2 linked regions of the Alligator mississippiensis genome follow. The protein of the gene in region 1 purifies or fractionates together with the protein of each later gene. This does not show direct contact. Links are inferred from orthologs where the notes say so. Each region holds a gene or a part of one and is shown on either strand. Other genes may lie near its edges.

Region 1 (10,341 bases):
CAGCTTGAAGATCTTCATACCGGCAACTCCTGCAGCCAAGCTGACTCCAAATGTACTGGCTTCTGCCTGTCCTTTGGGATCAACCAGCTAGGCTGAGAAGGGGACAAAGAGGCGCTTCAGTTGCCCATATATCTATCTCAACTGCCCACGCCACTGCAGCCAAAACTGAATGGAGAAGATACTCCATCTTTGCTACTTACACCTGTGACAACTGTAGCAGGACCTGAAAGTCTAACATCAGTCTCTACAACTGCAAAGAGAAAATGTACCATGAGTCAGTAGAATAGCTGCAATATCTATCATCACTCACTGATGAGCAGATGCCATTAATCATTACTTTGTCCCAATAACTCTACCCTGCTCTTCTCCCCAAACAGGAATTATTTCTGGGTGGTGGAGGTGAAGGAGGGGTGAGGGAGGTTGCCCTTTGTTCTAACCCCCTCCCAAACCCCAAAACAGCATCTTTTCACCTCACCCTCACCTGTTCTCCATCTACCATTCTTTTTTGTGCTTTCATCCGTTTAAGGCAAAACCCCAAAACCACACCCCATTATGAGATCTAGCATTCATCTTTAAGTCATAATAAATATTTTTCTAATTAATGTGTAAAAGAAGATATCCTCAAATCATGAGATAAAAGCACGAGTTATGGGAAAAATGGTTTTTACTGTATGTGATTAAGCAGTTGTGTAGCTACTCTTCAGTCTCATAACTAGTTTCTATTCTCCCAGCTATTAAGAGTATTCTAACAGTCTAACTTGTATATAGACTCTGCAAGCTGTAGATATGATTTTTTCCCATTTGAATATTTTCACCAGAAGCTACAATGTATTTACTATAGGCTATTCTTTAATGTACACAAGGTTTCATCCACAAAAAATGTAAATTCTTAATGTGTGTACATGCATATAGAAGGGGTGGGGTTGGAAAGGGGTATCATAAAGAGAACGGGACTATAAATGCATATCATATCACCAATACTCAAACTACGGGCCTGTGTCACACTAGATACTGCAAGGTTTTTGCCCCCAATAGTAGGGGTGCACCAACAGAGAATTTGTGGGCTGATACTGATAGCCATTTTAAGGAGGCATATTGGCCGATACCAATCTGACTTCTGATATGCAGGCCTGCAGCTCGAAGAGCCAAGTCCAGCTGGTAAGTCTGTTGTGATGGAAGGGAAGGGAAGAAGAGGGGGGCAGATCAAGGCCCCCTGCAGTGAGGGAGGGAGTGGGGCTGGGGCAGGCATGGGCTGAAGCTGCAGCTCATCCAGGGGGCTCCTCCCACCGCTGCGTGCACCCCAAAGGGCATCGGGGGAGGGGCATTTGCCCCCAGATCTGTGTGGGGTAGGGTGGGGTGGGATGGGGTGCGGCAGGCTGCCTTTGCAGGCTGGGGCTGGTGCTGAGCGGGACTCTTCCTTCCAAGGGGCTGGGCCAAGCTGAGCTCGGGACAGGCGGCAGCACTGCAAGGGGGCTACAGGAGGGGGAGGCTGCGGCCACCTGAAAATCCACCCTAGTCCCCTCAGTCCCTTACTAGCACTGCCACCCACCCCAAGCCTTGATCAGCACCCCCATGGCCCCTTCCCTCCCTTTCCAACACAACACTTACCAGCTGGATGCAGCTCTCCAAGCTGCCAGGCTGTGCTCCTCGCCACCTACATGCTGCGGTACGACTGCATGCGTGCATGGGCCATTTATCAGCCAAATTATCAGCCATATCAGGCCGATTTCTGATACAGTCGATTTTCTTTATATCAGTGCCGATCCCATATTGAATTGCTGCATCAGTGCACCTCTACCAGATAGCATTATTTAAGATATTCAACTTTAAACTGAGATATCCATCTCTCACTTATTTTAGTAGGCTTCTCTTGGTAGTAGTTGGTTTTTTAGCCAAAGTTTTTTCTAGTTTTCAAATGTGTGTATTGCATCTCACCATACATGTAAACATACTAACAGATTTACATGTTTTGAAAGATTCCTCTCATTTAAGATATTCACTATACTTAAAATGAGAAACACTAATAAACCCAACCATCTCTCAAACAAACAAGAACTTTAAAGTACACCTATTATGTATGACATGTTTAGTACAATGACATCTCCTGATGAAACGCCTTGTTTAGGGGTCTGTCAGCTGCTTTAAAAATATTATGCAAAACGTGTCTTAGCCGCTAAAGCACATACATCCAAGCCTGGCTACACGTATTTCATGTAAAACTAAATTTCACACTGACCTCAAATTCTTTGGGTTGTGAATACTCTGAGCTCATCTTTATCATCAAGAGATCTCAAAATATGGATAAAGCAAGCCTCTTATCTGCTATTAATAATAAACTCTGTTTCATTCCTTCAAAAAAAAAAAATAAATAAATAAAAGTTTACAGACCTAAGTAACTTATATTAAGAATGGTCCTTAAGATGGAGAAGCAAGCATGAAATTTAGTAAGAGAAAAGACACAAAGCTACTTAGGAAAATAACCATGAGTGAATGTAAAACCAAATAGGAAATGGGCATTCCAGTATTAATTTACCTACCAGAGAAGGCCCAATATTAAATTTAAACACGGTTAAAATAAATAAAAATATTAAATCTATTATAAAACCTGACATTATATGTAATTACTTCATTGATTCCACTGCTGCAGGATACGCGAGGAAAGATAAATGTAATTGCATTCAGAAAAAACTACTTATTTCAGCAGACAAAAACTTCATTGGTCTTTATGTCAAAGAACTAACCTACAAAGCTATCAATTCACATATTTCAAAACACAAACAGACAATCAAGAGGAGATCAACCCTTTCTCCCATGAGACAGTACCAGAGAAACAACAGTGCTCTTACACTCTCCCCATGAAACATGCTGGCATTTTTAGACCAGGACATCTGGGCCAAACCCGGGTGCCACAGCATACCTGATCCCTTCCCGGGTGCTGCGGGACTGCCACACTGAGGTTACCCTGCTGATGCACACAGCCCGAGTCACAAGGTAAACTTGGAGATGCCAAATAGGAACCAGCAGGATATTAAACGCCCCCGGGGACTTGGCAACAGACCAAGCGGCTCGAAAAAAACGGGTGAGAAATGGGAGCTGGCGTTCTGAGGGGGGCCTGAGGCCGGGCAAGGGCAGCCTCCAGGCCACGAAGACTCTGGCTCCAAGGCGCGTGGGTGGCCGGAGCCGGGCTGTGTCCCAGGCGGCCGCTGCCTCCCGCGGAGAGGATGCCGAGCTCGGCGGCGCCTCCTTCCTTTGCGGCCCCGGCGCCGGGTCCAGAAGAGCCCGCGGCCTCTCTCTGCCCAGAGCAGCGACCGTGGGACCTTCGCCCGCCGAAGACGCTGCCCCTACCCCTGCCCCGGCCCCGCCGCCCGCTCCGCGCCGCCACGCGGGAAGCGCGGGCCAAGCCGGCGGGGTCACGGGGCCCCGGCCCGGCCCAGAGCGCCGCCGCCCGCCCCCCGCAGGCACCTGCCACCCCGATACCTCGGAGACCTCCTCGTCCTCCTCGTCGTCGTCCTCGTCCTCGTCGTCGCTGCCGTTATTGCTGCTTTCGCTGCCGCCGCCGCCGCTCTCGCTGCTGCTGGGCGGCCGGCAGCTGCGGCCGCGCTTCGCCTTGGGCGGCTTCTTTTTCAGCAGCAGGTCACAGACGCGCGCCAGCCCGCGCGCCCCCGCCGGGCAGGGCGAGGGCGAAGCCGAGGAGGACGGCGGCGGCGAGGGCCGTGCCTCGGGGGGGCCCGGCCCGGCCGCGGGGCTCCCGCTCGCCCCGGCCCCGGCCGCCGGGTCCATAGCTGCTGTGCGCGTAGGGCAGCTGCGGCCGCGCTCGGTCACCTCTAGCGCCGGCGCCGCCTCTCGCGAGACTTGTAGCCAGCGCCGCCGTCACGGGCCCGGTAACGCCGGCGCCGCTCCCGCCTGCCCCCGCCCCTCCCCCTGCGTCCTCCGGACACACCTTCCGCGCCTGCGCGCTGCCTGCCGGCGCCGGAAGCGGTGTGATGTCATCAGCCTTAGCCAGCGTGTGCTGCTTCTCAAGCTTCATCCTCCCGGGCAGGAGCACTGTTTGAAGTGGGGTGGCGCGGGGGTCCTTCGCTTTGTCCTCGCCCTGTTGGGAAACGGAAGCCGCGGTTGCGCGGCCGCCCCTGGCTCTGGGTGCTGCGAGACTGCTCTAGCTGCCCCTGGGGAAGCCTGGGCGCGGAGCCCCCGCCCTGGGGCTGCCCTCGGTTCTCGTCTGGACCCTGCAGGCAGCCCCGGGGCGCAGGACGCCCGCCGCACCTGGCTCCCACCCGGGGCTGACCCTGGGTCCACCTTGCCCTGTGTCAAGGGCAGCGTGTGGATGTTGAAAGGGAGTGTGACCTGGGTACGGCCAGGGTTTTTCCTCTGTTGCTTTCCCACGTGCAGCCTCCAGCACTTCAGGCCTAGGCAGTTCTGATCCAGAGGCTTTCTCTTCAGCATCATTATTTTGTAAAATACCCCTATTGTGTCCCCCCTCAGGTGTCTCTCTTCTAAGCTGCATAGGCCCAGCCTCTTTACTCCCCTTACATGAAAGCTTCTCCATCCCACTAGTCATTCTTGCTGCCTCTCTCTGCACCTCTACTTCTCTATCCTTTTTGAGATGAAGGGGCCAAAACAGTATTCGAGATGCATTTATAAAGTGATGTAATGAGACTTTCTGCTTTCTTACAATCCTATTCTTAATAATTCCTAACGTTTTGTTTGCCTTTTTGATGGCTGTGGAACACTGCGCTGCTGTTTTTAGCAAACTGTCCAGATCTCTTTCCTGTGTGGTAATAGCTAATGTAGAACCCGTCATAGTTTAGTCTGGGTTATTTTTGCATCACTTTGCACTTAACTTGTATTGAATCTCATCTGCCACATACTTGCCCATTTCTTCAATAGTGCTAGATTCTTTTGTAGTTCCTCACAGTCTGCCTTGGTCTTTACTGCTTGAAATAATGTTGTTTCATCTGCGAATTTGGCCACCTCACTATTCACCCCTTTTCTAGACCATTTATTAATATGTTAAATGGCACTAGTCCCAACACAGATCCCTGGGGAGACCATGCTGTTTGCAGTGTCACATTCTTACTCGAAATTAAGAAATGTAAAAAAAATGTTACAGATGCCCCTTCAGTTGTGCTTTTTGTTACATTATTTATATTAGAGATGTGATACATTATTAGCTCATTTCCCCCCCCCCCCAAAAAATCTGCACCTCCCCACTTCAGCATACACTACCATCAAGAGGCAGTTTCACTATTTCCCCTGCAGAGTTAAGCTATTCTTCAGTGAGAAAGTAGGGCAGGGTGGCACCTTGGAAACTAACTGGTTAGGCAAGGCATGAGCTTTTGTAGGTGACAGCCTACTTTATCACAAGGCAACAGATGCTGTTGCCTATGAAAGCTTATGCCTCTCCAAACTAGTCAGTCTGAAAGGTGCTACCCTGCCCTGACTTATGCCTGACTTCAGACAGGCACAGCTAAACAGGCCTCTACTCATCCTTCAACAAGAAACATGCCATTGGGCTCCTGCACTAACCATAAGTCTTTGATAATGGATATAAATGAGGGCTTACTCATGTATTATTAAATAAATGGGACATTAGTAAGTTTGCTCTTTTTCTTTTTACCATGGGTCTTTCACTCAGCAACAGGGAAGATACTTAAAAAAAATTAGGACAATCTGATTGTAGCCAGCAATCATTTTTAGTAGGCATGTAAGTGGTTAAACCACAACTGCATTTACACCATTTACTGGCTCCAACCCCTTATGTCCTCACTGTTCTCTCTGTGCTGCCCTGGCCAATGACAGGGGAAGCTGCAGGCAAGGGGTGGCAGGAGCAGCTGAGCCTCTACGGGGCACTGCGGAGCTGCAGCTTCCCCTCATTCTCATGGGCAGGTGCTGGGTCTATGGATGGAGCTGGGGCTGCAGAGCTCTCCTGTGCCAGGATTCTGATCCTGCTATCACAGGGACGGGGAGGGCAGTACCAGGCCCTCACAGGGGTCAAGTGGGGCCTTCTTACCAGTGGGGCCCAGGCAAAGCGGTGGGCCCCCTACACCTCCCACCACGTTTGTGTAGCCTGGACTTGGAAGGCTTATCCATGCTGCCAACCTGGGCCCTCCCCAGCTTCCCCAGGGGAAAGGGGGTCAATCCCAGCACATTTTCCAAAAGATTATCATCTGTGATGCAAGCAAGCATGAAAAGTTCCAACGCAAATAGTCGTATTCCTTCTCTACCCCACACAGTGATAAATGGTGGATACTAGGAGCACAAGTACCTGAACCACTACATCGCTATTAGAATGTTACAATAATATTCCTAAAATTGGTGGGTGATGAAAGGTAGGCAATTAGGTAGCTTTAATTCTTATTCTCTGATTTATAATAGACTAGACTTTTTGATTTAATTTTTAGGCATGAGATCTGAAAAATTAACAATAAGCTAAATTATTAAGTACCACCAAAACTGTCAAGAGTTTGTGTGACCCAAAAGTAATAAACTAAATGTTCTATAGCCTCAAAACCAGCAATGTTTAAGATGAACAGATTTGAATGACAAAGACCATAATCAACTCTCTAGGATACTTGAGTGCAGATCTGTGGGAAAAATGATCTCATCCTCTCTTGCTGAGTACTTTGAGATCTACAGATTAATAGTACTAGACGTGAACTAAGCATTATTATTTTTATTATAATAATCACCACCAGAAGATATGCATGGTACATAAACATAAGTAATTTCTCAGTCTGACAGCCTGAGGCTGACTCCATAAATTGATTGCTTTTGAAACACACAAGTTTATCATTCAAAAGACAATCAGTCCAGAAAGGTGACCTGGACAGTATTATCAACATACACAAGGTGTGCCTGAGTGAAACCTTTAGATTAGAGCTATCCAAATAATGGCTTATGGGCCACCTGCAACCTGCAAGGGGTTAAATGACAGTCTACCTGCTCCCACAGAGGCATCACTTCCCTCCTCAGCTCCAGCTGTTGATTCTGCTGGGGTCTCCAGGCTCCCCCTCCCTTCTCTGGCTTCAGCTTCCTGCCCCCAACTCTGGAGGTGGGGCAGTATGGCCCATGTGGCTTAGGGAGCCTGCAGCAAGGAAGTGGGGGCATCTGTATGGCAGGGCCAGTGGTGGGGGTGCTGGCAGCACGGCATGAGCCCAGCCACTCACAAGCTAAGCATCCCTACTTTAGATAACAAACATAATAATTCTACTTGGCAAGGGACTTAGTGGAGCAAACCTAAAAATTGTCCATTGAAGTTCATGGGCCAAAATTGCCCATTGGGATTCAAATAGAGCTTATAGCAGGCTTTTCACTTGTAGGCGTCCTCAAGGAGAAAAGCTACACTCCTTTCCCTTTCCAGCAAGCTGTGGCCTATTGACACAATTGACTCAAGGATTAACACAGAAGTAGAAGTAAGCCTTCTCAAGTTCCACTAAGATCAGCTTTGAATGTGCATTCAGCCAAATTCTGATGCTTAGCTTTGACAAATATTTTTCTGAAATGTTCAGTTAGGAACACAGAACTGGAAAAGGCCTCCTGGCTCAAGTCCAGCACCCTGTACCTGCAAGCAACCATGCCATATAATTCCTTTCATATTGATCAAGCTCCAGTAAGAGCTAAAAGTGAAAGGTACCAACATTAATGGTAAAAGTGGAGTTGCCAGTTTGGCCACTTCTCCAGCTTCCTTATGATAGGTTCTGACACTTTGATGATATCTGTAGCCCTAGCGCTGTACTGGAAGCCTTTATAAATAAGATCCACTCTTGTTTCATCCATTACTGTGGAGCTGGCTACTTGTATTTCCCTTCTCTGTGGAGGTGGTTGACACTAAATTCCTTTTGTTGTTCCCCTCTCTGCCTCACTTTTACCAAACCCTGAGAATTCAGCAGTGATAAAACAAATGTGGGTAGTCTTTAGAGAGGCTTCCTAACTCCTGCAAACTGTCTTTTCTGCCACTGGTAGCAAACTGCTGAAAGAGAAGCACATGACTCTCAGTACAGGTCAATGAAATAAACAGGAGAACATTTGGATACATTATTAAACTTGTTATGGTGCACTAATCTTGTTTTATAATTTATAAACCAAAATTAATTTCCCCAAAAGATATTGTAATTATTTTTAGAGTATTTTTATCATATTTAATCAAATAGAAAATTAGGTTTTTTTCCCCCAATCAGCATGGGGGAAAAACTCCTTCATCTCCTGATCACATCCCAGAAAACCCCATCCCTGCCATTAAATACATTGGTTAGCATTAAACTGCTGCTAGGAGCAGCATGTGCTTAGTCATGGAAACCAACTATAAAGTTGGCTAAATGCAGCCCATGCTGAGCATACCCATAAAACACCTGGCCCACATTGGGCAAACACAACGATGGGAACCGTTTTTCTTTTCTTTTTTTTTAATTATGAAAGTATCAAAAACTTAAAAACCTGCTTCCACCAGCTTGCAGTGTGTTACAAAAAAAAACTACATCAATCACAGGCCAACAAAACAATAACATATCGAAACTTAAAACAAACTTCAACAAATAAGATCGACCAAAACCACAGAACATTTATACATTATACAATGATTCTCTCCTTCCCCAAATTTCTATTAATCCAGGGACATGGACACTTTTGTTTCTTAATACCACATTATTCCCTGTTACCTTCCAAGCTCATCTATCACCCATATATGGGTGATAGATATATATATATATATAGAAGATATAGATTCTATACCATATATAGAATGGTTCCAACCCACCATTTCAATTTAGGGAGCATAGAAGACTAAACCCCCATCACATGTATAAGTGCCCTATCTATCTTGTCTTAGCCCCTATCATGTCTTTCCTAGCCAACTTCTGGCCTGCAGCTATAGTTCAGCCACCTCTAAGGCCTCATCATCTTTTCATCCTAGATCTACTAGGTATCTCTATTCTTCTCTTTTCCATAAACCCCTCACCTGCTCTTTACCTAGCTCTCTTTTGTCCTACCAGCAATAGCATCCCAGTTAACTCAAGCCCAAATACAAGGTGTCTTCTACCAAGAGTTCCAGTTGTTGCAAGACTAGTAAGTTTCTTCCCTTTTACAATGCTGTGCAAAAGCTCACTACAGTTTTCCATACTATTCCTCCATCCTTCCTCTGAGCCACAGCCCACACTCTGCATAGAATCACTTCTAGCATGAGTTGACTCTGAGCATCCAGCCTCTGTAGGAGTTTCTCTGCCTTTCCCCAGACCATTCTGGCAAACTCACATTCCTACATCACATGCCATATGCTTTCTTCCCAATTACATGTTTGTCTAGGGCATTCGGCTGCTCTACACAGCCCCCAAATATACTGGTATAGAGTGCCCAAACTGGTATAATAGACGTGCTAGCAGCCAACTGAAGTCCCAGTGCTGCTTCTGTATGCTTTTGTTGAACACCCCCTTCCAAATTGCCCATGCTTTTTCCTCTATGACCCCCGCACCCCCCCACTGGAAATACAGTCTCCTATTCCCTGACCCAGACCTTGATTTTTTTATCTAAAAAATAACAACACCCCTCTTTTGCAGCTCTTGTCTGCATCCCATACTGATTCACAAATTTTGAACAGTTTTGTGCAGATTAGTTCAAAGCTCACCAATGTGTTTATGGAGTACGTGTGTTGAAATGTAGCTCTGATTCTTGTTGGGGCCAGAGACAGACTCACAGCAGTCTCCTGTTCCCCACTGCAGTTTCTGTCCTCCTCTCTGTCACTTCCCCCCCTTACTGTCACATGCAGCTCCCTTCCACTTGTGCTTGGGGGGGACTAAGAGCCTGGGCAGGGTCTGACAGTAAGCGGTGGCAGGAAGGTGATGGGGAAAAAGTGCGTATGCAGGGCGGGCGGGGGGTGGGGGGCAGAGGGCAAGGGGGCTACTGGACCATCCCAGCTATTATTTTCCCTGCTGTAGTAGTGGGAGGGGAATGAATTAAAGATAAAACTCTGATAACTAGATTCTGCACCTGGAAAATTACAACAAATGTATTAATTTTCCATATATAGAACCTAATGATTGAGGAGGGGGGGTTGTCTTATAGTCTGTGACATTTTCGTTTTAAGTAAATAAAGTAACTGCCCAAATATTGAAAAGGAGGGTAACAATTTTTAATTAAGATTTTGGTACTGAATTGCACATACAGTTGCATAATCTAAAGTTCATGTTTAGTTTTTGAACTTTTTAATAATGTATTATTTGACAATAGTAAATTTATAACCTAATGTAATCAGAAAAGTATTGTCTAGTTCCATTTTGTAATATTATAAGGTTGACCCAATATCTGTTTTTGTACTAACATCCTGCTGTGGTAAAAGTTTAGATAGTCACCTTT
Region 2 (10,173 bases), on another chromosome or scaffold:
GCTCCTGGCTGGGTGGGGGAGGGGGTGTCAAAAATGCAGAGAGGGGCTGAAGGGGGAAGCTGTCGAAACTGATTGACAGGGCTGCATTTGAGAGAGTCTCGCTCCTGCATGCCTTTTCCTTCCTCTTTAAATAAAGCATTGTGCTGTGTTGTTTGTTTGTTTCTTTTCTATCACTGCAAAACTGCAAGAAATATTTGGGAGCAAGGCAACCTTGACATTTAACCAACGTTGGGGAAGAAGCCTGCTTTGTGCAGCGTTGCTAAATCGTTTCTTCTTCTTCTTCTTCTTCTTCTTCTTCTTCTTCTTCCAAGGCACTTTAGGAATTTCATATGCTTGTCTGCAACTCATTGGAAATTATGCGCCATATTGAAAGTGACATATAATTATAATAATTACGGGCAATGAAAAGAGTAGCAATAATAGTAAATGTCCTACAGCTGTGGAGCTTCTGCATGAATTGATTTTAAAAGTGACTGACATTAAAACAGCTCGTGACAGGAGGGAGTGCATTCGCACCTAGGTAGATTTCGGTGTGGAGGCAGGGATAGGAGATGAGGTAAAGTTATTCTTTATATATATATATAAAGAATATATGTATATAAAGAATATATATATTCTCCCGCGAAGGGCTAGCAAATATTATCAGAATGGAGCTGAGCAAAGCTTCTGCCTTTAATCTGCCGATCAGAGAAGAAAAAGCCCACTTCCTTTCGTTTAATCCAAAAAAAAAAAAAAATCAAAGAGAATTTTCCTTCAGGCTGATATAATTTGCCCCTAGGCTTCTTAGTACAGATCATAAACCTGCCCCGTCCCATTCAAGGCGAGTCGGTACTTTAAAAAGAGCCAGTTGTAAGACTCTCAGCAAAAGAATTCCTATTTCAAAGGCTCAAGCTAGCTTTAGCTGGCTCTGTCTTTATGTTTTGCTTAAAGAATTCCCATAATCTGGTAGGGAAAAAGTTAGAAGGTATTGGATTCAACTGGGTGGTGGGGTGGAAATCAAACACTAAAAATAAAAACAACCCCAAACCCTGAAATCAGCCCGACCTCTCTCTCTCTCTGATTTTGGAAAATGAAATAAGGGAACAGATGTTTGAAATATGCTAGACAAATGTTAGGTATCTTTGGTGGGTAGATGAGAGCATAATTTTTGCCTGTTTCCTTGATTTATTATGTATATGGAGAGCTTTTCGTCATAACTCTTTGTACTGTAACAATAAAAAAGAGCGATATTGAAGCAGAATGTCAGCGAGGAGATAATGTCGGTGAAAGGTCTTTCATTTAAGATTAGACAAAAACGGGGAAAACCAGATTTATCTCCCAACTGTAACTTCCGTGTGCTTAGAGTTGCCTGTCCTTGCAGATTAGAAGCCAGTGTCACACACAGCGAACTGCATTGCTTTTGCTTCCCAGCCCGGAGACTCCCAGGGCTGGCATATTTCCATAGAAAGAGGGAGAGAAAATAATACCAAGGTGGTGGGGCATGAGATCGAATATTTGTTTTTATTAGAATATTCCATGTACATACCTAAGACAAGCTACAAACACAACACGTACAAAAAATTAATAAAATAGAACTTTTTTTGTTGTTGCTTTTGCATTCTTTTAGGTAGTACTCGTTCCTTCAGTAGGGTTTTCTCTCTTTTAAAAAAAAAAGAAAGAAACTAATTACAAAGACCCCAGGGCTTGATTAATTTACCAAAAGAAAAAAAAAACAGAAAAAAAATCTGTAAGTCAATCGTGCATGAAACATTTTTACAAAATTAAGACAATAAACACCAAAAATGACATATATTGCATCACCTCCATTAAATACAAGAGTTAGCAGTTACTAACAGGGACACCAAAGGGGAGAAACACAGGTAAGAGTCTTTTTTTTTTTTTTGGAAGGAGGAATAGAAAGGAAGGGGGGAAAAACTCAGCTAAGAAGCCTCATTGTGACAGATTATTGAAACAGGAGTCCCAGGGCTCAGAATCTTCCAACTGTCTCCGCTATTTTACAGTTCAGCTCTGTCCCCTCCACCTTCCCTGATCTTCTCTCTTTCTTTCTCTCTCCCTCCCTCCTTTTTTTTTCTTTTTAAATAATACTTTCACTCCGTCGCTTTCTCCTCCTCCTCCTCCGCGCTCAGCTGCGAAGAGTTGAGCAGTTTGTTCTCTTTTTTCCATTTCATCCTCCGGTTCTGGAACCAGATTTTGATCTGTCGTTCTGTCAGGCAAAGTGCGTGTGCGATTTCGATCCGGCGGCGCCTGGTCAAGTAGCGGTTGAAGTGAAACTCCTTCTCCAGCTCCAGGGTCTGGTAGCGGGTGTAGGTCTGCCGGCCTCTCCTGCCGCTGGGCCCGAAGGATGAACCTGTTACACAGGGAAAGGTTGGGGGGTTTGGGTGGGGGGGTGGGGGGAAGAAAACACAGGCGTTTATTGGAGTGGGAGATATGCATAACAATGCCAGGGATCTGGCCGCTTAGCCCTCAGCTAAGGGGTATGGGCAGGGAAAGGGGTGCGGGTGCTTTGGACTTCCTCTGCTCTCCCTCTCCTTCTAACGAGAGGGGAAAGAAATGCTCCGGCGACATGAGAATGCCCCTTTGCAAAGCAAAGGCTCCAGAGTGACTAGCTGGCCTGGGAAAGAGCCCTTTGCGTTGCGGCAAAGCTCTCCCTGCTGCTCTGCTCTGAGGCAAACACAACCCCTGAAGGGTTAATGCAGAAGTTGCCTGATATTCCAGTGCGCTGCTCCGAGGAGATTGCTACTGTCGCTTATTGCATTATGGAAAATCGCAAGGTGCCCCTCCACCCCCAAACACCCCCCGAGCCCTACCACTTCTATTTTTCCACCTTACAGGCAACAGTAATAGAGCTGAGCATTTAAGCAATAATGAAGTGTATCGATCTAGGCAAACTCTGTGCATTAAAGAGGATACAACACTTTATGTCCCTGCACTAATGGACATCAATTTGGAACTTAAAAGGCAAGAAATAATGCATCTAAACACGGTGAAGGGGGAGTAGGGGAGCGATGGTGCAGGGTGTGGGGGCGAGTGCCCCGTACATATGTGTGCATTTATTTATTTATTTCTGTATTTACTTTTTTGATGGAAGAGATGGCACTTAAACAAGCCATACATCACAGGGAAGAATTCCTCCTCAGGCAGACTTTTTATTATGTGTGAGTTGCATTAAAAATGTAGTCCTCTCTTTTCAAATATTTAAACACTTTTATATTACTGAACCCCCTCCCGGCTAGCTAGCAAGATAGATGTGTGTGTATGTGTGCGCGTGCTTGCGTGCGCGCGCGCGCGCGCTCGTGTGTGTGTGTGTGTGTGTGTGTGTGTGTGTGCGTGCGCGTGTAAAGTCATCCGGATTTGATTGTGAAGAGATCTTTCCCTCACTCTCTCTCTCTCAACACCGAGAGAGAGAGAGAAAGAAATCCTTTTAACGGAGTGACATAAAAACTGGAGCGCAAAAAAAGGGGGGGTGCGGGGGGGGGAACCAGGCATGGCTAGATACGGCCCAAAGTTGGGCATTTTATTTCTGGTTAAAGATCTAGTGAAAGAGTTGGGGGAAAGGAAGAGAGAAGAGAAAGGGGGGTAGGGGGGATAAAGACTCGGGCAGCATAAAGTTTGTGTGTGTGTGTGTGTGTGTGTGTGTGTGTGTGTCACGAGCAACTTTATTGAGTCTCGCGTGTTGCTTGCCTGGTCCGCTGGAAGTTAGTGTCCTGTTCAGGTTTTCCTGATTCTGTGCGTGTGTGTGCGTGTGTGTGTGTGCGTGCAAATATGAAAAGGGGGAGGAGAAATTAAAAAGAGAGAGAGAGAGAAGAGTAACTCACTGTTGCAGGAGTTCATCCTCTGCATCCAGGGGTAGACGGGCGTGGAGCACTTCTGTTCCTCACTCTCCCCGAACACATTTTTGCTCTGAGCGCAGTCTGACTTCCGCTGATCCTGGCCAAACTGCCCCTGGTCCTCCAGGCTGGAGATGGCACAGGCAGGGTCCTTCTCCCTGTAAAAACCAGCTGTCCCATAGTCACAGGCTGTGGTCCGGCTGTAAGCTCCGTTAGCTTGCTGGTAATAAGAAGAGGAGGGATAGCCCTTCTCCTGGACTCCAGTAGCTCCATAGGTAGCGGGGTAGTGTCTTAAAGGATCCGCATATCCTGAGGAATATAACGGGATCTGTCCCAAGAAGGGCTCCTGCCCAGCGGCCAGGCTCACCGGGAAGGTAGAGTTGACAAAATAAGAACTCATTGGGAGGAGGCAGCCGTCCTTCCCTGGCGTTATGATTTGTTGTGTTTTATAGTCCAAGTGGTTTAGCTATTAGTAGTATATCGGAGATTGGGTTTTAGCTGAAGGGGGATGGCTGGGTGCCAGTGAAGGGACACAAGGAAATAGAACCATCTGATCATGGACTGACCAATAGCAGGAGCCTGAGATTGCAAAATAGCACCCATGAGGGGCTTGGATTCCACGAGGGACCCCAGAACAAACCAGCCGGCCCCTTTTTTTTCCTCCCTTTTAAACAACAGAAATGCACCCCCTTAACCAAACACATATCCGCAAAAAATAAATCCCGGAACGGCTGGCGCTTTAATACACACATACATATATATGTATGTATACTATATATATATATAGAAGCTAATATGTATATAAGCCACACACCCTCCCACACACACACACCCCCACACACGCAGAGAGCAATATAGATATATATGTAAATATCCTGTCTGGGCGGGAAAAAGAAAGTTAATCCTCTCTGTTCTGACAAAGTTTAACCCCTGGCGCCTGCCAATGATCTATAACAGATCGGGGGACATTTCTGGGATTTGTAAAGAAACTTTTATTTCTTTATGTGTGTAATGAATGCCTGCGGGGAGTGGATCTCATCTGTTTCCTTCGCTTAGGGTTAGGGTGGGAGGTTTGGCGGGCGCCGGTGTGTGCTGGGGGGAGTTAATTTTGGTCATTTATTTTTCATATTTATCTAATTAGCATAGATTGGCAGAGAGCGTGTTTCCTTTGAAAGTAGCACGCGCCCGCCTCCTCAAATTCTCCGCTTTTCATTTATTCTGTACCAGAGTTGCCAGGCTGGGAGATGAATGGGAATCGAAGTAGCCCGATTATCCCGGGCTAAATAGTCCGCTAGCTCCAGATCTGTGCACCGAATTGTGCCCTCTTGCGTTTTAGGCTTAATACCAAATCCGTGCCCGGCCCTTCCTAGTTAAAGGCTGCGCTGGGTTACGGTCAAGAGCTGTCCTTTATTGATTGTCACCGATGGAGATTTTTTTTTTTTTTTAAAGCAGGGGACGCTCTTGTTTGGTGGGTCTATTGACTGTAAAGTGAGGCACGATCCCGCTTTTATCTTTGATCATGCTTTCCATCGAGGTCGGTCCCCACGACTGGAACTTCTCTTCATGGACGGTAATGAGGAATCAAGTGAAGTGTCTTACAGAAGGCAAGCGAAAGTCGCTGTCATTCTGAAAGTGGGGGGAAAGACCCCCTGAGCGGAGCGGGCTCTGGGATCCGTGGCTCTAAGGTTCGCTTTTATTCATTAGCAGTAGGTGGGGTTCGCAGTGGCTATTGCACTGCTCTTCAGATTTCTGTACACTTGAGGTATATGTGGATTTTAATATGTTGCCCTACCTCTGGGGCTGTGGAAATGTAACCCTGCTCTACAGAAACTCACTAAACAATTAAATGAAACATTGATCGGTTTGAGTTACAGAAACTCCTTCCTTCCTTCTCTCTATTCTCTTCTCTTCTCTTCTCTTCTCTTCTCTTCTCTTCTCTTCTCTTCTCTTCTCTTCTATGCAAAGAAATTAACTCGACTTCTAATATAGACTCCCATAGTCTTGATTGGGTCTGCTACTACTCTAGAATTACACATAATTACATGGTCACTGCAGAACTCTCCCTGACGGGGGTTAAGTACGTCTGAAACTGGTATCTTATTACGAGCTAATTTATTTTAAACATCGTGTTTACAGCAGCAAAGCCAAGATTGTTTCATGCCACCGCTGCAACTAGCCGTCGACTGACCGTAATCCTTATAATTCAAGGAAATAACATGTAAAGGAAGTAGTTGTTCGCCCTCCCCTTTTCTGACTGGTAGCTATTATATTTGTTCTTGCAGAGTTTTCCTTTGTGTATGGAGTGGACCCAAACCTACGTAGGTCTGCTTTATTGGCATGAAAAAGAGGGGGAATATGGGATTAAAAGAGAAAGTTGACTGTCTATTGAAGGGGGGGGGTGAGAGGAGGGGAAGAGAGAAAGAGAGTGAGAGGAATACATTAAGCAGCCTGAAGTTGGCTGCTTCGCAGGAGCCAAAGAGCTCAGACATTTGATTAGAAAGTTGCGCAATATTTGTGTAAGAGTAAAAAAAAAAAAAAACCCGAGAAAACCTACGATGACTCGCACCGCATGCAGATTTTGGGTGAGAAGTTTGAATGCCTGATATAATGAAACGAGTGAGTAACAGACACATTTGTGTTCATGCAACAAAAACCCTAGGTTTTTTTTTTTTTTTTCCCCTGTAATGCTTTCTGAGTGAGGATTCTTGTTGTGGAAAGTAATAGCCCCTGGAAATAAGTGGAAAAAATGTGTTTTCCCAAAACGCGGGGATGCTGCGCTTATAAGAAATACAGCTCCTTCCAGAGCGGTGTTGGCGAAGCCTGACTTTTCGCAGCGTTGGACTGTGGTCACTTTGACCTTTTTATTTTTATTGGCAGGAACAAAAATAAAATCCACTAACTGCAACTGGCCTCTCGCTAATTGCTTATTGCTGGTGGTTGAGACTGTCTGGGAATGAGGCTGGAGCCCTCTGGGTTTGCAAAGGTGGCTCCACTTAAGTCTAGAGATATTTATGGGGGGAACGATAAAGGGGAGAAAATTGGGTGAAAACGTATTGATCTTTGGCTCCGCTTTGGGGGGGGGAAATATGGTTCTTCAAGTGTTCCTCGTCATTAGATTGAGAAGGACAATAGCATTTGTTTACCAGTTACAAGCTGCTTGTTTGCAGCAGATACTCAGAAACGCATCCGATGACAGGGAGTTGTGTGCCTGACAGAAAACTGATCACTGCTATTATGTTAATAGCTATTTTTAAAAAGTTATCCTAAATCCCCACTCCCTCCATCCCAACACCTCCACCCTTTCCCTGTCTTGGGTTACTGGCTAAATTTTGAAGGTAAATCATTGGGGGAGGGAGGGTGAAAAGGTTTGGTCTCTTTATGTCTTTAAAGGCAGCCAGGCATGAGTAGCGACAAATCTAAACCTCTCAGGCGCTGATACAGCTTGCAGTGTCTATGCCCTGAACTATGTGGTTTCCAACCATATTTCTTAGGATAGTCCCATTGATTTCTGGGCCGCATTTGCTTACAAAATAATCCCAGGGTTTATTAAAAAGCAAGCCGTTAAGTGGTGTAGTGGCTAGACAGCAGGAGGAGGGAGAAAAATGTTTAATTTAAAAGAGAATCCTTCCCCCCCTCCCCATTTCCTGCTGATTGACATAATTCTGTTGGCAGGGTATAAATAAAGAAAAAAGAGACGTATTTACAATATGTACATTCGGGTTGGGAGAAGGTTGTATTTTTTTTTTTTTTTGGTCACACATTTCTCACTCCTGCTCTCCAACTCCACAGATAAATTAGGGGATTAAAACAACCCCGAAATATTTCCAAAGCCAAACAGATCAGAGCCCTGCTGGCGGAAAAGCTAAACCAGTTCAGAACTTAGTGGAAAGTTAAGTGCAGTTGGTTCCAAAAAAAAAGGGCTTTAAATGTGGGGTTGCAATTCGCTAGGCTTCTGAAGTGAAATCGCGGCGGGATCTTCCCAATCAAGAGACTTATTGCAGTCATAAAGTCCAACGAACACTAAGAAAACACTTGAAAAGCCTCTTTACTGTATTTAGGCATATAAAGCTATTATCAGTGGAGAAGATCGTCTGCAATATAAATAGCCACTCAAATTGGTATTAGAAACACGGCATAAGTCATGTTTGCCGCCACAATGTTGGCACATTTCAAACAATGACCCCTCAAGGTGTAAAAAAATATTCTTTCTCCATCAGCACATAACCATTTGAAACTTAATTTCCAGCAATTTAAGTTTAATTTACCTGACTTCCCGTGCAGTGCATAATAACCTTTTTAATGGGATCTTTGAAAAGGAGCAATATTAATCTACCATTGTTCCATTAAAGAGTGCAGCTAATAATTAACAAAAAAAAACAACAAAAAAACCAAAAACAAAAAACGAGAAAGGGGTTGGGGGCAGGAGATTGGGGTAGTAAAAATGTATCTATATTACCTTATTTCCGCTAAAGGAAAGTAATCTGGCTAGGAGAACTGAAAATAAGCAATCAGAGAGGGAGAGGGAAATATCAAAGCCCGGAGCATGCAGGTTGAATGGAGAAGGCGATGGGGTGTTAGGAGTTACAAAATGGAACAAGTTAATCACGGCTGTTGCTAGCCAAAAGCAGAAACTTTTTTTTTAGCATAGTCTCTCGGCATCTCACTTTCTTATAGGAGAATGTCATTGGTCTAGACGTAAACAGTTGCCAGGAAACTGTGGGGTAGTAGAAGAAAACGAGAGAGAGAGAGAAACCTTTTAAAAATAACAGACTTGCATTGTCCCTTTAAGCTACTGTAACTTAAAAGGGAGTCGTCGTCTGCCTTTCCTCTCTGCTCCCCATCCCAGCAACCGCCTCGCCGTTGTGTACACGAATTGACATATCTTCTCCAGACCCCTCCAAAATGATCACTCCGAGCCGTAAATAAAGATTCCTTCGTGTTATGATTAACTGCCTTAAATTTTCATCTCACGTAATTACTTATTGCATTTTACAAGACTCCTGGACCGATTCACTCTTAGGAAACAACCAGCTTGCTTTTTTCTTGTAGTCCATGTAGTTCTATGGGACTTGGACAGACAGACAGACAGACAGACAGGTAGGCAGGCAGGCAGATAGCACTCCCTCCAGATTTATGTGTACATAATCAGATACATATATATCTTAAAATTCACACCATTGCAGCAGGCCTCAGCGTGGAAATGTCTTTGAGATCTGGTTCATGGATGAATGACAGTTCCCCTCCCCTGCCCCTTTTGCTCCTTGTCCACGACACACACAACCGTGCAACCCAAGAATAATCAGTGACTTGAAAAATAAAAGCGGAAAACCGAAATCCTAGACTTGTGCACGAGTTTCAGGGGATATTAATCACCGCAAACCCTTTAAATCCTCTGAAGTTTTCTGGCATCAGACGGTAGATGGCAGCAGATAGTATGGAATGGAGCTGAGTAAGCCGGAGAGCAATATATAATGGGGCGAGACATAAAGAGAAATAGACCTTTCCGTTTTGAAAAATAAACAACTAGGTGATGTTTAAAATATAGGAATTCCTTAATTAGCAACTTATCTATGTTCTCGCGAAAACATTTAGATTTCCTAGACAATCAAACATTAAATGGTGCCCGGGTTAAAGTGATTAAAAAGACTTACTTGCTATGACATTTATCTTTTGGGTTCTACAAGTGGTTTGGCACAGGAGATCTTATAGCATCAACACAAATACATTTAGGAATGGGGACACTGAAATGAAGAACAGCATCATTTCCGCGCACACACCCCCTTTCAAGAACAGCCACAGATCTTCCAAACACCAATAGACTTCCAAGAAAGGGGAAAAAAAAAGGAAAGGAACTTCAAACCAGCATTAAATGCTCTGTTATATATGACAGTATAACAGCCCCAGCAAGAAATATCTTTTAGAAATTAATCTCTGTTTATTATTTCCACCCTGGCTATAATTTACTCTGGACCACAAAATAGGGAGAGTCAAGCGAGCCGATATAGATCATCCTGTTATAAAAATTTTAATGGTTAACTAATGGAGATGTTTGTTCTTGAATCAATCTCTTTTTACATGCACAAGCCTCAGACACCAGGTTATTTACAAAGCACCAGGGAACCAGAGCAGCGTGCCTATTTTTTTAAGTGCTGAGATCTAGAAGGCGGTGGGAGGAAAAGATAGCCCCCTTCGAAATGACGTGCATTTCTGGACTACTATTTTCTTAAAACCAAAGCAAGTCTTTCGGGTGGCTGAGAAGATATGCAACTGGAAGGAACCGAAGAGACATAATTTCTCATAATCCGGTGGCCAGTTTGGGAAAAAGGAAGATGGGAAGGTGGTTTTA

The links. Proteins that work in one complex are often made in the same cells at the same time.
Region 2: the proteins of ANKRD17 (region 1) and HOXB6 purify together in Homo sapiens (co-immunoprecipitation; 3 studies listed by BioGRID and IntAct, with this or other methods). This does not show direct contact. The link is inferred for Alligator mississippiensis from reciprocal best matches to the Homo sapiens genes ANKRD17 and HOXB6.

What each region holds. Positions count from the first base shown.
Region 1 is NC_081825.1:166,098,081-166,108,421, reverse strand, and holds the start of ANKRD17 (ankyrin repeat domain-containing protein 17), read right to left. Parts: upstream 3,879-10,341; 5' UTR 3,781-3,878; coding exon 3,478-3,780; intron 1-3,477.
Region 2 is NC_081827.1:168,183,200-168,193,372, forward strand, and holds HOXB6 (homeobox protein Hox-B6), read right to left. Parts: upstream 4,588-10,173; 5' UTR 4,228-4,587; coding exon 3,816-4,227; intron 2,348-3,815; coding exon 2,088-2,347; 3' UTR 2,086-2,087; exon of another isoform or gene 1,639-2,085; 3' UTR 1,482-1,638; downstream 1-1,481. UniProt on the Homo sapiens protein: Sequence-specific transcription factor which is part of a developmental regulatory system that provides cells with specific positional identities on the anterior-posterior axis.